Saccharomyces cerevisiae S288C: one gene and its partners. The gene in region 3 interacts genetically with the main gene of each other region. Each region holds a gene or a part of one and is shown on either strand. Other genes may lie near its edges.

The links.
Region 1: mutations in AIF1 (region 3) and PMT7 together harm fitness more than expected from each alone (negative genetic interaction), as found in Saccharomyces cerevisiae (one large-scale study listed by BioGRID).
Region 2: mutations in AIF1 (region 3) and YDR262W together harm fitness more than expected from each alone (negative genetic interaction), as found in Saccharomyces cerevisiae (one large-scale study listed by BioGRID).

The regions. Positions count from the first base shown.
Region 1 is NC_001136.10:1,072,971-1,078,353, forward strand, and holds PMT7 (putative dolichyl-phosphate-mannose--protein mannosyltransferase), read left to right. Parts: upstream 1-2,894; coding exon 2,895-4,883; downstream 4,884-5,383. Other genes in the region: HNT2 (bis(5'-adenosyl)-triphosphatase), read right to left, coding at 1-342, 432-518; PFU1 (Pfu1p), read right to left, coding at 765-2,201; SRB7 (Srb7p), read right to left, coding at 5,057-5,383. UniProt on the Saccharomyces cerevisiae protein: Probable protein O-mannosyltransferase involved in O-glycosylation which is essential for cell wall rigidity. Transfers mannose from Dol-P-mannose to Ser or Thr residues on proteins.
Region 2 is NC_001136.10:990,086-994,452, reverse strand, and holds YDR262W (uncharacterized protein), read right to left. Parts: upstream 1,320-4,367; coding exon 501-1,319; downstream 1-500. Other genes in the region: exodeoxyribonuclease DIN7, read left to right, coding at 1-211; YDR261C-C (gag protein), read left to right, coding at 2,104-3,426.
Region 3 is NC_001146.8:776,800-782,587, reverse strand, and holds AIF1 (Aif1p), read left to right. Parts: upstream 1-3,849; coding exon 3,850-4,986; downstream 4,987-5,788. Other genes in the region: seripauperin PAU6, read right to left, coding at 308-670; YNR075C-A (uncharacterized protein), read left to right, coding at 985-1,077; COS10 (Cos10p), read right to left, coding at 1,548-2,672. UniProt on the Saccharomyces cerevisiae protein: Putative FAD-dependent oxidoreductase involved in the resistance to cercosporin and other singlet oxygen-generating photosensitizers. Translocates from mitochondria to the nucleus under apoptotic conditions, where it degrades DNA and induces apoptosis.

The DNA of each region.
Region 1 (5,383 bases), on a different chromosome or scaffold from region 3:
TCCTTGCCAATCAGTCAAAGTCCCATTACCATCCCAATGATCTAATTTATCGTATATTAAATCCCCTACATTGTTTATTTTATAACGTGGAATAATGTGTGTATGCAAGTGGGGTACCGACTGTCCGGCCTCAGGTCCATCTTGGATGGCAACGTTGATAGAGTCAGCCTTATATTGCCACTTAATAAATCTATGTATTAACTGTAAAGTCTTGAAATAATCTTGAGATTCAGGCATGGTCAGATCTGATAAGTTTAAAACCGTAGTTCTCAGTGGAACGATCAGTACATGTCCGGGTACAATTGGTTTCAAGTTTACCAATGCATACGTATATTTTGACTTCTGTAAAGAAGCAGAGATTATAAGGTCTCCATATAGTTAGTAACGCAATGGTGCGAATGGGGTACAAAAAAACATATGAGAGTGCATACATAGAAAACTTGTTCAGTTACAAGAAACTTGCTGAAATATATTGGCTTATTCATGCTTTTAGGTTTCTTTGTTTTGCTTAAGATCATTCTGAGCCCAAGATAGATCAATGGAGCTTCCTTTTTTTCTTCGCTTCTTACAATTGAGCAGAAAAGAAGATTCGACCATATCTTGAGAAACGTATAAACCAGGAAAATTACACATTCTAATTGGTGTCAATGGCAAAATATATGCAAGTTTGCATGTAAAATATTTTTTTTAGGCCGGATAAAATAATTCTTCCTAATAGTGTCTAAAAGAAAACACTGACTCTTATAAAACAAACAATGAACATTTTAATAATTAAGATATAAACTGCCATCTTGATCTTCCAAAGAGACTACCAAATCAGCGACTTCATCGCTTTTCATGTTCCACCCCAGCTTGGGAGAAACACAAATATTCTTTAGGCAGGGCAGCCTGGATTCCAGTATGGCTATAGTCAAGTCATCGGGATGAATCTTAGAAGCTAATCCCAAGGATCCGCTGCATTCTAAGTACAATGTTTTAAGAGGCCTATCATATTCCACCAATTTACTTAGCATGAATTCAGAAAAGCACCACTTAGAACAGTAATCAACCATGAGCTGCAAAGAAATTAAATTAGCACAGTACGTGAAGACATGGTCTAGGGAATTTTCTGCCAGAGATGGCATCGGATAATGAAAAAATAAATGCTTTAAATTATCACCGATCTGTGATAACAACGAATAAATAGACAATTCCGTTATTTGAGGACAATAAGAGAATTCTAAAGTTGTAATAGTTGTTGGCCATTTCGTATCAATCACAAATTCATTTGTTATACCTCCACTCAATTTCAAGTACCTGAGATTCTGTGGCCATTGAATATCTTGGAACCCTTGGCAGTCAATCGACGATCTGGGAAAAGATAAATGCGTTAATTTAGTGAAATTTTTAATGGCAGAAAATAACTCCTTCAGCTTAACTGTTTCCGATACTAAACCCAAGTCTAAAAATTTCAAATCATGACACGATTTCAATGAAATCAAAGGCGCGTAACCAAAGCTTGTCTGTGGTGCGATGAATTTAGTTAGGTTAGAACAGCATCGTCGTAAAAGCTTGGAGACAAATGAATTTCTACCACTTTGTAAAATTGTAGACAAGTTCAACTCAAAAACATAGTGTCCTAAATTCTTCTTTTTATTTATGATTATTGTATCAACAAACCCGTTGAAATTCTTACTTGTTAACGCTGGTGCATAATAAAGCTTTGGTAGACACATGGCGTACCAGTTTCTGCAAACTAGTAAGTAGTTCATATTTATACCAGTCGTAGTTTTTTTTCCATTAGCAGTTTTATTTAATTTTTCTTCTTTCTCTGGTATATCAAGATAATGAATTATTCTATGCTGTATCTCCCATGGCAAAACCATCTTTACTGATACTGAATGCATCCTCGCTTCCTCACTCTCTATGACTTTGCCATTTTTTTCTCCTTTGGAGGACGATGTCGATGATGACGATGGCGACTGCTTACGTCCTTTTTTATCCTTTTTTTCATTACTCAGTCGTGTCAATTTCACTATAGTATCATTGGTTTCATCATAGTAATAAGACCCCTGTGGAGTCTCAATGAGTTCTGCATCCTCCGGTATAGTGATAGTGAATTCTTTAGCCTTATTATCATTTCTTGTAGAGGAGAAACCCTCTCCCGCCACGTACTTCCTGTAAGGAGCCTTGATTTTCTTGGGTCGTGATTTGTTTGCCATTACTGAGTACTGTGGTTGATATGATTATGTGTTAGAGCTGTTGCACATGTTTGTCGATGTACAAATCTTGACGATGCCGTCATATTACTCTCAATACTAGACACATCTTGTATTGACAACCCTTACCCCTCATGAAGAGGTAACCCGGCCGCAGGGCTTTAACAATAAAATAGAGACTATCATTCAACAATTACACAGTAGAAAAAAGTCAGAAGATTACTAATCTCGATCTTAAGTCTATTAGTCAATTAAATGTGGCCTAGGATTCAACTAAAAATATAGTAGTAGTGAAAAAACAAATGTTCCAACCGAGGATCGAACTCGGGACCTTTGCCGTGTGAAGGCAACGTGATAGCCGCTACACTATTGGAACAATATTACGGATGACAGCTTAGGATTCATAAAGAACTAATAAAGGTGTGGCAATAAAAATGGTGCAGCAAGTCTCAACTTTACTGCTTCTTATAGTTACTTCCTGTCGTTTTCATCACACTAACCCTTTGTTTCATTGTGCTCCCCTTCCCTTCCTTTCAATATTGCTTCCTACATCGGTCACTCTTACTTTGGTAATGAAGTAATGAAGAAAGGAAAAATAGAAAATCGAATACTAAAAATGTTATTATTTAAGGAGAATAAGAACGTAGACACTTAAGGGCGATAGTGTTTGAACAGAAAAAAATTAACTTACAAAACATGAAGGACTTGAGATTACAGGGGCCCTACAGAAAGTACATTCCCTATAATATTTTCCAACAATGTGGAATTGGTCACTTAAAGACGCTTGATTATATTTTCGCGTTTTTGATTGTTATTACCAATTTCACATTAATATGGAAATCGCACTCTTCTTCATTCTGGAACCGACCATGGGACAATAATAGTGAACAAGAACTTTCCCAATTAATTCAGTTTTACCTAGACAAGGCTTTTTACATCCATGAATTGCCACCATTTACAATACAGTTCTACTCCATTATTCGAAGATTAAAGATCGCAGAAAATTTAAGATACGTTTCTTTGTTTTTGAATTCATCGACTTTAGGTTTTCTTTTCCTGATAACAAGGAGAATCAATTGCTCTCGTTTAATTTCAGCAACAGGTTTGCTGATATTATCCAACTGGGAAACTTTCAGAAATGAGGGCACTATTATATCATTTGACAGTTTAGAATGGTGTCTGTTCTCAGTAGTAATTTACAGTTTTATAAGCATTTCAATTGCAAAACTGGGAACTACGAATTGGTTTGCTAATGTGATTACATTATCTATTTCTTTAGGGCTGGCAATCTCTTCTAAATTTATTGGAATTGTCACTTGGGCCTTCGTAATTCTTTCTTTTGTACGTCAATTTGATAGACTGATAAGCGACGTTAAAGTTACGACCATCCAAATAATAAAATTTGTCATTCTCTGTCTATTATTCGTTTTGATTATCCCTGGTTCCATCTTCATAATAAGTTATTCGAACTTACTTTCGAATTTTAAGACAGACACGCCACAATTTTCAAAATATATGAGCACATATTTCAAGTCCTATTTAAGAGGCCCTCAAGTACAACCGAGTCGATTGTACTATGGATCAACGATCACATTACGTCATTTAGATTCTATGGTCGGATATCTTGCTTCTCACGATATTTCGTATCCATCAGATGTTGACGAACAGTTAGTAGCGTTATCATTTGAAGAATTCGCGGCAGACAATGAATGGTTAATAGAACATCCTACATTAAATTTGAGTTTTTCTGAGGTATACCATGCTGATCAATTGATACCTGTAGAATTTGGTCAAAGTATAAAACTAAGACACAAATCTACTGGAAAATTATTGAGAGCCAGCACTGCTAAACCTCCCATCAGCGAGCAGGACTATGACTTTCAAATTTCATGCACGAAAGATTCAAACTACGAAGGAGGAATGGATGAGAGATGGGATGTTCTCCTGATTAAAGATGAAATCAACAATGATAAAAAGGATAACGCAGATGATAAATACATTAAACCGCTTCAATCAGAGATACGCTTTTACAATAACGGCCAGAGATGTGGGCTATTGGGCCATGATCTTCGGTTACCTGAATGGGGCCGCTTTGAGCAAGAAGTCCTATGTATGGAGTACCCAGTAATACCAAGAACCACTTTTCTAATAGACTCAGTACAACTACCAGTCGATTTCCAAGTCCCAATGATAGAATATTATATCGGCAAAATAAGTTCTTCAGCAGAATTCAATCATACCTTATCTTGGTCACAATTTCTTTATCTTTTCAAAGAATATATTTTCAAACAATACAAGTACAATTACTATATTAAATACGGTAAAAATAAGGTCACTTTTGAAGATGCGTTCGCCGTGGAAAAATGGCCAATTACGTTAGACACAGACTCTCCAGTTTGGTTTAATTTTGCATGGTATGGATCCTTACTCTCGATGATCATTTTCATGTGCGTGCAATGTAAGAGAATGATATCTTGGAATCCGTGGACAACTGCTGAACCTTCCTTTTCTATCAAATGGGAGGTCTACAATGAATTTGGCTGGGAGTGCATTGTCGGTTGGTTTTTACATTTTTACATCTTCACAATGAGTCCACACTTCAACTTGGGGAAAAAACTGTACTTCCAAAGTTTTTTCTTTAGTGTATTGTGTCTTTTAGAATCGTTAGATTGCCTTGCAAAGTAACTCGTAGAAAGATTTTCTCCATTATGATTTTTCTCCCATTGCTTCAATAATTCTCCGGTACAAATAGAGTAGCACAATTATTTATAAGAATAACATACATACGCTTAACTCTGCCATATAACTATAGTACATTTTCTGTCCTCTGTTCGCAAATTTCTTTGTAAAACTTAAGTTTATGTGCTCTTTTTTGAGTTTGCAATGCCATCTACAAAATCTTCAATTAAAGAATCAACGTGCCTTAAAAGTTTCTCCTTCTTTTTGATGGCCTCAATTTTTTCGTCTTCCACTTCAACTAGCTTTTTCTGCAACATATCAATCTTCCTTAATTGCTCTTCAGCTGAAACGTCAACACCAGGTAACGAGTCAATAAGCTTGTTTATCTGTCTTGTTTTAAGTATAATGTCCGTGGATAGCTCATCTATCGTGTTAGAAAATTCCTCAGGAGGTACTACTGTGGCATGCTTATCGGACATCTGAGGTTCATTTACGGTCAATCGTTC
Region 2 (4,367 bases), on a different chromosome or scaffold from region 3:
TAGAGAAAGAAAATTAAAAGCAAGAAAGCTGTTTAAAGTAGGTCTACTTGGGGGTGAATCCAACTCATTCAATAAGAAAGTGGAGCAACCGCTAGTGGATACGCAGGACGTGTTATCGGAGAGGGAGAATTCTCTTGATAACAAAAACGCATCCTCTATTTATATGACCTCACCAGCAGCGATCTCAGGCACCGTACCATCAATTTTCTAAGTGGTGTATATATATGTTCGAAGGTATTGTTGTAATATTTTCATAGTTGTATTCTTATTCCACCGGCCCCAGCTAAGCATTAATATAAGGATTCGTAAAACAAAATTATCGTTCACATACTAGAGAAAATATAACTATAAAACAAATTGATACCAATGTATATATTATGTTGTAAACTCCATAAAGATAGGCCGATCCTACTCGCCATTATTAATAAATTATAACCAAAAAAAATAAAGAACGCAATTTGTATGGGGTCAAGGAAGTCAAAACCATAAGCAACACATAACTAAGGACCCACCAGGGTGAAATCAACCATCAAAATAACACCATTGCTTCCATTTTCAATGCTCTCGACGGCATGAAATTTCTCGTCTCTGGAGGAAGCTACATAATATACTTCTCCTTCTTTTTTGAGTAAAATATCACCACCAGTTTCCGAATCGCTTTTCTTGCTTTCTGTGAAGTCAATACTCTGCAGGAGCGTACATCCTGGACTCACCTTCTTGTAGGAATTTTTATCATCATTGTACACTACAATATGAGATCTCACAAATTTGGAGATATTCTCTTGTATTGCCGTATCAAGTTCCTTCTCGGTGGCACCATCACTTTCAAGCTTATCAATATTATTCGGAAATTGCCACGGTTTTAAAGTAAGCTGAGAGACAGCCCTGTTCGTTGGTGCAATAATAATCAAATCTTCGTTGGGGTCACTTACTTTGTTATATGTTTCAACATCATTTCGCACATAGCTTGCAAATATTTGGACCTCGTTCACTAATGACAACTTTGATTCTAAGGATAAAGGAGACAATTCAGCCAAAAACTCTTGCTGCTTTCTTTGCTGTGTCCCTAAAATATCATCTAAATTCACTGCGGGTCTTGAAAAGTCACGCATTCCCTTATATCCTAATGGATAAGAATTTACTTGAGAATTATGTAGCCGGGGCGGTATTTCCTCTGGTGCTAACCGCTTGTGCAGCTTGCCATTTGAATCTTTGAAAGTAATTAAGTTGACGACGTTCTTACCTCTTACGAAACTAGGCTCCATTGCCCATATCAAAGAAAAATAAAGCAGCACACTAACAGGTAGATTGAATATCATGGTCGTTTTGTAAGTTTTTATATTATAAGGAGAAGTTATGAAGCAAAAGGGGATGACCGTCTAGTTGTTCTTGAAGATTAGTTAGCCCGATGACCGGATTTATTAACAAAAAAAACTGCTTAATCATTATTAACGGTGATATAAAATATTGACTGAACGAATGCTGAGTAGGCGAGGCAGGCACCTAGTCTCTAAACCCTTCATATTGATCGCTAATAGTTGCTAAAAAAGTGCGCAAGCCCGGAATCGAACCGGGGGCCCAACGATGGCAACGTTGGATTTTACCACTAAACCACTTGCGCTCACAATTGTTGGATTTGTTTTATCATCGACATACCATACCTCAATATGACAATAAATCATGCTAAATGTTCATAAATCACATATGAAACAATTCTTGCACTTCAGCTTCCTCTAACTTCGATGATAGCTTCTCATAACTTATGTCATCATCTTAACACCGTATATGATAATATATTGATAATATAACTTGTTGGAATAAAAATCAACTATCATCTACTAACTAGTATTTACGTTACTAGTATATTATCATATACGGTGTTAGAAGATGACGCAAATGATGAGAAATAGTCATCTAAATTAGTGGAAGCTGAAACGCAAGGATTGATAATGTAATAGGATCAATGAATATTAACATATAAAACGATGATAATAATATTTATAGAATTGTGTAGAATTGCAGATTCCCTTTTATGGATTCCTAAATCCTTGAGGAGAACTTCTAGTATATTCTGTATACCTAATATTATAGCCTTTATCAACAATGGAATCCCAACAATTATCTCAACATTCACCCATTTCTCATGGTAGCGCCTGTGCTTCGGTTACTTCTAAGGAAGTCCACACAAATCAAGATCCGTTAGACGTTTCAGCTTCCAAAACAGAAGAATGTGAGAAGGCTTCCACTAAGGCTAACTCTCAACAGACAACAACACCTGCTTCATCAGCTGTTCCAGAGAACCCCCATCATGCCTCTCCTCAACCTGCTTCAGTACCACCTCCACAGAATGGGCCGTACCCACAGCAGTGCATGATGACCCAAAACCAAGCCAATCCATCTGGTTGGTCATTTTACGGACACCCATCTATGATTCCGTATACACCTTATCAAATGTCGCCTATGTACTTTCCACCTGGGCCACAATCACAGTTTCCGCAGTATCCATCATCAGTTGGAACGCCTCTGAGCACTCCATCACCTGAGTCAGGTAATACATTTACTGATTCATCCTCAGCGGACTCTGATATGACATCCACTAAAAAATATGTCAGACCACCACCAATGTTAACCTCACCTAATGACTTTCCAAATTGGGTTAAAACATACATCAAATTTTTACAAAACTCGAATCTCGGTGGTATTATTCCGACAGTAAACGGAAAACCCGTACGTCAGATCACTGATGATGAACTCACCTTCTTGTATAACACTTTTCAAATATTTGCTCCCTCTCAATTCCTACCTACCTGGGTCAAAGACATCCTATCCGTTGATTATACGGATATCATGAAAATTCTTTCCAAAAGTATTGAAAAAATGCAATCTGATACCCAAGAGGCAAACGACATTGTGACCCTGGCAAATTTGCAATATAATGGCAGTACACCTGCAGATGCATTTGAAACAAAAGTCACAAACATTATCGACAGACTGAACAATAATGGCATTCATATCAATAACAAGGTCGCATGCCAATTAATTATGAGAGGTCTATCTGGCGAATATAAATTTTTACGCTACACACGTCATCGACATCTAAATATGACAGTCGCTGAACTGTTCTTAGATATCCATGCTATTTATGAAGAACAACAGGGATCGAGAAACAGTAAACCTAATTACAGGAGAAATCCGAGTGATGAGAAGAATGATTCTCGCAGCTATACGAATACAACCAAACCCAAAGTTATAGCTCGGAATCCTCAAAAAACAAATAATTCGAAATCGAAAACAGCCAGGGCTCACAATGTATCCACATCTAATAACTCTCCCAGCACGGACAACGATTCCATCAGTAAATCAACTACTGAACCGATTCAATTGAACAATAAGCACGACCTTCATCTTAGGCCAGAAACTTACTGAATCTACAGTAAATCATACTAATCATTCTGATGATGAACTCCCTGGACACCTCCTTCTCGATTCAGGAGCATCACGAACCCTTATAAGATCTGCTCATCACATACACTCAGCATCATCTAATCCTGACATAAACGTAGTTGATGCTCAAAAAAGAAATATACCAATTAACGCTATTGGTGACCTACAATTTCACTTCCAGGACAACACCAAAACATCAATAAAGGTATTGCACACTCCTAACATAGCCTATGACTTACTCAGTTTGAATGAATTGGCTGCAGTAGATATCACAGCATGCTTTACCAAAAACGTCTTAGAACGGTCTGACGGCACTGTACTTGCACCTATCGTAAAATATGGAGACTTTTACTGGGTATCTAAAAAGTACTTGCTTCCATCAAATATCTCCGTACCCACCATCAATAATGTCCATACAAGTGAAAGTACACGCAAATATCCTTATCCTTTCATTCATCGAATGCTTGCGCATGCCAATGCACAGACAATTCGATACTCACTTAAAAATAACACCATCACGTATTTTAACGAATCAGATGTCGACTGGTCTAGTGCTATTGACTATCAATGTCCTGATTGTTTAATCGGCAAAAGCACCAAACACAGACATATCAAAGGTTCACGACTAAAATACCAAAATTCATACGAACCCTTTCAATACCTACATACTGACATATTTGGTCCAGTTCACAACCTACCAAATAGTGCACCATCCTATTTCATCTCATTTACTGATGAGACAACAAAATTCCGTTGGGTTTATCCATTACACGACCGTCGCGAGGACTCTATCCTCGATGTTTTTACTACGATACTAGCTTTTATTAAAAACCAGTTTCAGGCCAGTGTCTTGGTTATACAAATGGACCGTGGTTCTGAGTATACTAACAGAACTCTCCATAAATTCCTTGAAAAAAATGGTA
Region 3 (5,788 bases):
TCATTTTTATGGAAGGACAAAGTGCTGCGAAGTCATACGCTTCCAATTTCATTGTTGTTTATTGGGCATACTCTGTTAGCTTTATTTCCGTCCACGCTTTTTCTACAATAGTGTAAAAGTTTCTTTCTTATGTTTATCGTATTCATGAAATACTTCACGAACACCGTCATTGATCAAATAGGTCTATAATATTAATATACATTTATATAATCAACGGTATTTATATCATCAAAAAAAGTAGTTTTTTATTTTATTTTTTCATTACTTTTCACTGTCTATGGATTTTCATTCGTAAAGGCATCACTCCCTAGTTTGCGATAGTGTAGATACCGTCCTTGGATAGAGCCTTGGAGATAGCTGGCTTTAATCTGGTGGAGTACCATGGGACACCGGTTATCATTCTGGTCACTTGGTCTGGGGCAATACCAGTCAACATGGTGGTGAAGTCACCGTAGTTGAAAACGGCTTCAGCAACTTCGACTGGGTAGGTTTCAGTTGGGTGGGCGGCTTGGAACATGTAGTATTGGGCCAAGTGAGCTCTGATATCAGAGACGTAGACACCCAATTCAACCAAGTTGACTCTTTCGTCAGATTGAGCTAGAGTGGTGGTTGCGGAAGCAGTAGCAGCGATGGCGGCAACACCAGCAGCGATTGAAGTTAATTTGACCATTGTATTTGTTTTGTTTGTTAGTGCTGATGTAATCTTAACAAGAAATAGTGAAATGAAAGCGCATACCTCAAAGGCATATAGTTGAAGCAGCTCTATTTATACCCGTTCCTCCATCTGTTATCACTACTTAAACGATTCGTTAACAGATGCTCATTTAGCACCTCACATATTCTCCATATCTCATCTTTCACACAATCTCATTATCACTATGAAGATGTTCTTGTTTTTGAACGAATCATACATCTTTGATAGACTTCGTATGTGGAGTACTGTTTTATGGCACTCATGTGTATTCGTATGCGCAGAATGTGAGAATGCCAATTATAGGGGTGCCGAGGTGCCTTGAAAACCCCTTTTGCGCGCCTGCGAAGTTTCCGCTTTCGGTCAAAAAGAAAATCCGAATTTAGATTTAAGACCCTCGTTCAGAAGCTTATTGTCTAAGCCCATATTCAGTCTGCTCTAAACGGCTTCCATGGAAGTAATATTTCTATCTCTTGAAATCCGTACAAGATATTAGACGTGTGTTGGGAGTCGTATACTGTTGGCGTCTGCAAATTCGTGAATTCTCCGCGAATGCCTTGGTGCAATTACGTAATTGTAGCCGCTGAAGGCGGATGGTTTTGAGAGAAGTTGATGTTCAAAGAATCGTGTATGATAAAAAAGAATGTAACCAGAAGCAGGATTAAAACTCGACGCAGAGGAAAATATTTGATTCCGAGATGTAACCCCCCCTTTTCTAGCCAGATATGAAGGAGAAAAGTGTAAGGGCAATAGATGGCGCTAATTTATTGAATCCAATTTTAAAAATGTTCTCTAGGAAAAATATTAATAGTTGATCCTCCTTGTAGCTTCTAAGTCAAAATAAATGTTTCTATCTTTATGGTAACGGCTCATAGTTACAGCTCAATTGCGCTTCTTGAATGTATTTCCAAAGTTCAACGTTTAATGATCTAGGCGACGCAGATTTTTTTGAGAACAAAAGGCTACTAAAGTTCCGTTCAAAGAATGCCTGACAATCAGTCCCATCAAAGAAAAACTCTTCGTTTTTCCAGACCCTCTTTTCAAATAATCGTGTATTCGTTTTCCTTGCAATTGTATCCCATTTTTCAGGGCTAGCACCCTGCTCGTTTATAATATCTGATAGGTACTGCATTTTATCATCAACTTTCATCGATTTAGGCCTTATGTTTTGAAAATCATCTATCATTCTAAAGAAAATGTCTATTAGCCAATAAGATACCAAGCATGCTGGTGATAAATTTGCACAAATAAAGAAGTCAGACATATCAGGAAGGAAGTCTAGTGGAGAGAAAGAAATCCTGATTCTCTGGCAACTCCATGCTAGCTTGCAGCGATAGGTTTCCTTAGGAAGCTTGACATTTTCCAACATAGTAAGTTTGCATTCCTTCTTACCATGGATCAACCTCCACTGTGCGTTTACTTTTGTAAAATAAACCTGCACCGCGTCTTCGGTGTAAGGGACCAAAATCTCAATTGAACTGAACCTAGGATCTTCGTTTTGTCTCCTCAAAACAGCTGGCTCTAGAATGGTTTTCCTGAATGCTTCTTGGCAGTCAGTACCATTAAAAAAAAAATGTGCAGTTTTCCATGCTTTGTTTTCATACAAGTAGGAATTGAAATGTATTGCAACAGCGTCCCAATCAGCAGAGTATGCACCTGGTGCACTTTTGATGATTTCTTTAGAAAGCTGGGTGAGTTGATTTGATAAAGTATATTTACTGTACTGTATTTGAACTACTGGCAAAATAGCAATTAGCGCCAGGATTAGAACTACTGAAGTCAGAAGGGGATAAAACCAAGTACTGGCCATCCCCCACCAAACGGCAAGCGGTAACCATGATAGCGACCAGATCCAAAATCCTGAGTTGCGAATCTCACTGCACAACCATGTTAAACGGTTTCTGAAAATATCCTCGGGCAAACAAAAGCTACTATGGGTCTCAAGACCTTTAGAGGACAAAAGTCTAATCTCTTCCCCCATATTCAATATAGTGTATTTCACATTAATGTTATGAGGTACGTAACAAGTTTACTGAGGTTTAATCACTCGCAGTGTTTTTTATATAATTCGCAAGATGAAATTTGTTGACAGCGCGTTCATCACGCAGCTGTTGAGTTTTATAGTTAAAGCCACGATCAAAAAAAGAGCAACAGCTTCGAGCAGTTTCGAGTGAAAGAGAATCTATGTTGGTTTATGTTCCGGAAGCACGGGAGAAATGGACTTCACTCAAGTACCCAAGTTATCACTAAAATGTAAGTCAATGTATGTTTACAGATACGAGCTGCGATGTTTTATAATACATGGTACACAATAGGTGAAGTATTGTGGCTTATTTTTGAATTATCAAACAATGTAATAGCTTTCCAAAGCATACCATATAACTCCTATGAATTAAGCGGCGGTCTCATTATAAAGTCGGGACACTTTTTGGTCAAAGCTCTCGATTAGTTTTTGAATACTGTGCAAAGTCTTTAATGATATTGTCATCAGTTCATAATCGAATTCTCTGGTACATTTTTTCTTATTTTATTGATCAATGTTAATGTCAGTTTGCTGGCTCTTGTTTTTTTTTTTTTTTTTTTTTTTTGACTGTTAGTTAAGTTGCCCAGCTAAGCTTACTCAATGAGTTAAGTATTTATTTTCATATTTTCATCATAAAATACTGCGCTATCTCGTGCCCTCGTCTCTTATACAATAGGCAGTACTTGACTAGAATCTAGGAGTGCTTTTCCTGAAACTCTCTATAATAACAACCCATCTCCCGCCGATTGTATAGTGAGCCAAGTGTTCTCATAATGGGGGTCTTGAAGAAGACTTCAATGGTGTCTCATAGTAGCAGTACTAGTAGTGCTAGGAAGATGAGCATTGTACAGCTTACTTTTCGTTATTAGTGATACATGACTGAGTGATTGTAGTTGGTAATACTGGATTAGTAATCGTTAAAAAGCGATAAAAATTAATTGAATGTCCACCCTGCATGATTAGTCCTTTTTATCTGGCTGGACAAATGAAGCCTATTATAAGTATTAATATATTAGCTGCTGCAGACTAGAAACGAAAGCAGTGATAAATCATTGATAGACACACATTTCCTCATCGTTGTTCTTCATTATTTACAGGAAAGAGCAGAGAAAGGAAGAAAGAAATTGCAAAATATATGACAATTAACACAAAGAACATAGTTGTTGTTGGTGCTGGTGTGTTTGGTGTGTCTGTGGCAAATCACTTGTACAGGGAACTGGGTGGGACATACGCAATAAAGCTCGTCACAGCATCTAATTATGTGTATTTTCTACCCTCAGCTGTCCGTTTGACGGTTTCAAAGGATTATACCAAGTCGATCCTGCCGTTAAAAAATGTTCTTGATAGTGGTATTGAAGTTATCAAAGATACGGCTGCCAGCTTTGATGATAAGGAGGTAGTTTTGGGGTCAGACAGGGCCATAAAGTTTGATATCTTGGTTCTTGCAACTGGCTCAAAGTGGGCTGATCCAATTGGTTCAACTTATACCTTCGGGGATAACTATAAAGAGTATTTTGAAAGAGAGGCTTCTCGAATCTCAGATGCAGATCACATACTTTTTCTTGGCGGTGGCTTTGTTAATTGTGAACTAGCTGGTGAATTGTTATTCAAGTATTTGGAGGAGATCAGGTCTGGCAAAAAGCGTATTTCCATTATTCATAATTCCGATAAGCTACTGCCGGACTCTGGGTTATACAACGATACCCTAAGAAAAAATGTGACAGACTATCTCTCAAAAAATGGTATTACGTTGTACTTGAACACAGTAGGGGCTTCTTTAGACACCTCGCCGAAACGTATTTTTCTAGGTGAGGGCTCATCTAAATATATAGATGCTGATTTGATTTACAGAGGCGTTGGTATTTCTCCAAATGTGCCGGTCAACAGTATTTCAGACCTTTGTGACAAGAAAGGGTTCATTCAAGTTGAAAAAAACTTCAGGGTAAAAGCTGTTGAGGCAGGAAACGTTTTTGCCATTGGTGATGTAACGAATTTTAGATATCACGGATTGGTTAAAAGAGATAATTGGGTTGATGTTTTGACCCGAAATGTTATAAGTTCTTTACAAGAAGGAACAGAGGCTAGTCTCGTTGATGCAGATTGTCTTGAGACAGGACATGCCCCAAGTGGTGTCTCCCTTGGGCCAAATGCAGGGTTTGGCCAATTTCCACTACCGTTACTTGGGACGATTAATATTCCATCGTTTTTAATTTCTAGAGCAAAGTCGAAGAATCTTTTCTCCGACAAAATGGAACCTTTATTCAAAAAATAGACTAAAATATGAACTGCAGCGTATATATATATATATATATATATATATTAGTTTCTGTATTGTGAAACAAAGAAGGCCGCTGGAAACAACAAATGTTGAACTTCGCATTCAGATAATAATCTATTAAAACCCGAAGTTACTCGAAAATGTTAGCTTTGGATTCTCACACTATATGTAGTTTCTTTGACAGTAGTAAAACGGTATTACACCTGTGCATTAGAGTTATCAATCGCTTGATAACAATTTGACATTTTGGAGGGTCCATGAAGATAGGTACTGATTTTACTCGAAGTGTGAATGTTTTATACCGAAGTTTTGTTATATAGAGATACAGATATCAACAGGATTGACCACCTTCTTTTTTAAACCTAGTATAATGGGGACGGTGAGAATTAACAGTTAAGGTATAGGCGTGATGCCATGGGAGGGGCAAATACGGAACTGGAGTAAAGTATTGTGTGGTTTAGGTGCTGGGAAAAAGAAAGCATTAGAATGCTCAATAAAACAGCGGCTTCCCGCATAATATTTTTTTGATTATTTCATTCCGAGAAAGGCCGATATATGCAGAGGCTACGTGTTGCTTGCCAACTTCAGTATACTTTGCTTGCCACTACCAGAAATTGACCCCGGGAACTTTATTTTTTAAGTGCCTAAAACTTATTTTCCTGCAGGGCGCGCAATAAATAAGGGATATAGCAAAACTTGAAACGTGGGGTAGTTTCGTGCCTTCTTATGTGCCTATCTTGATTTTTGCCTTTGTACCTGAGTCTCCTTACCCCGCGATACCCCACCGTATAGTCAC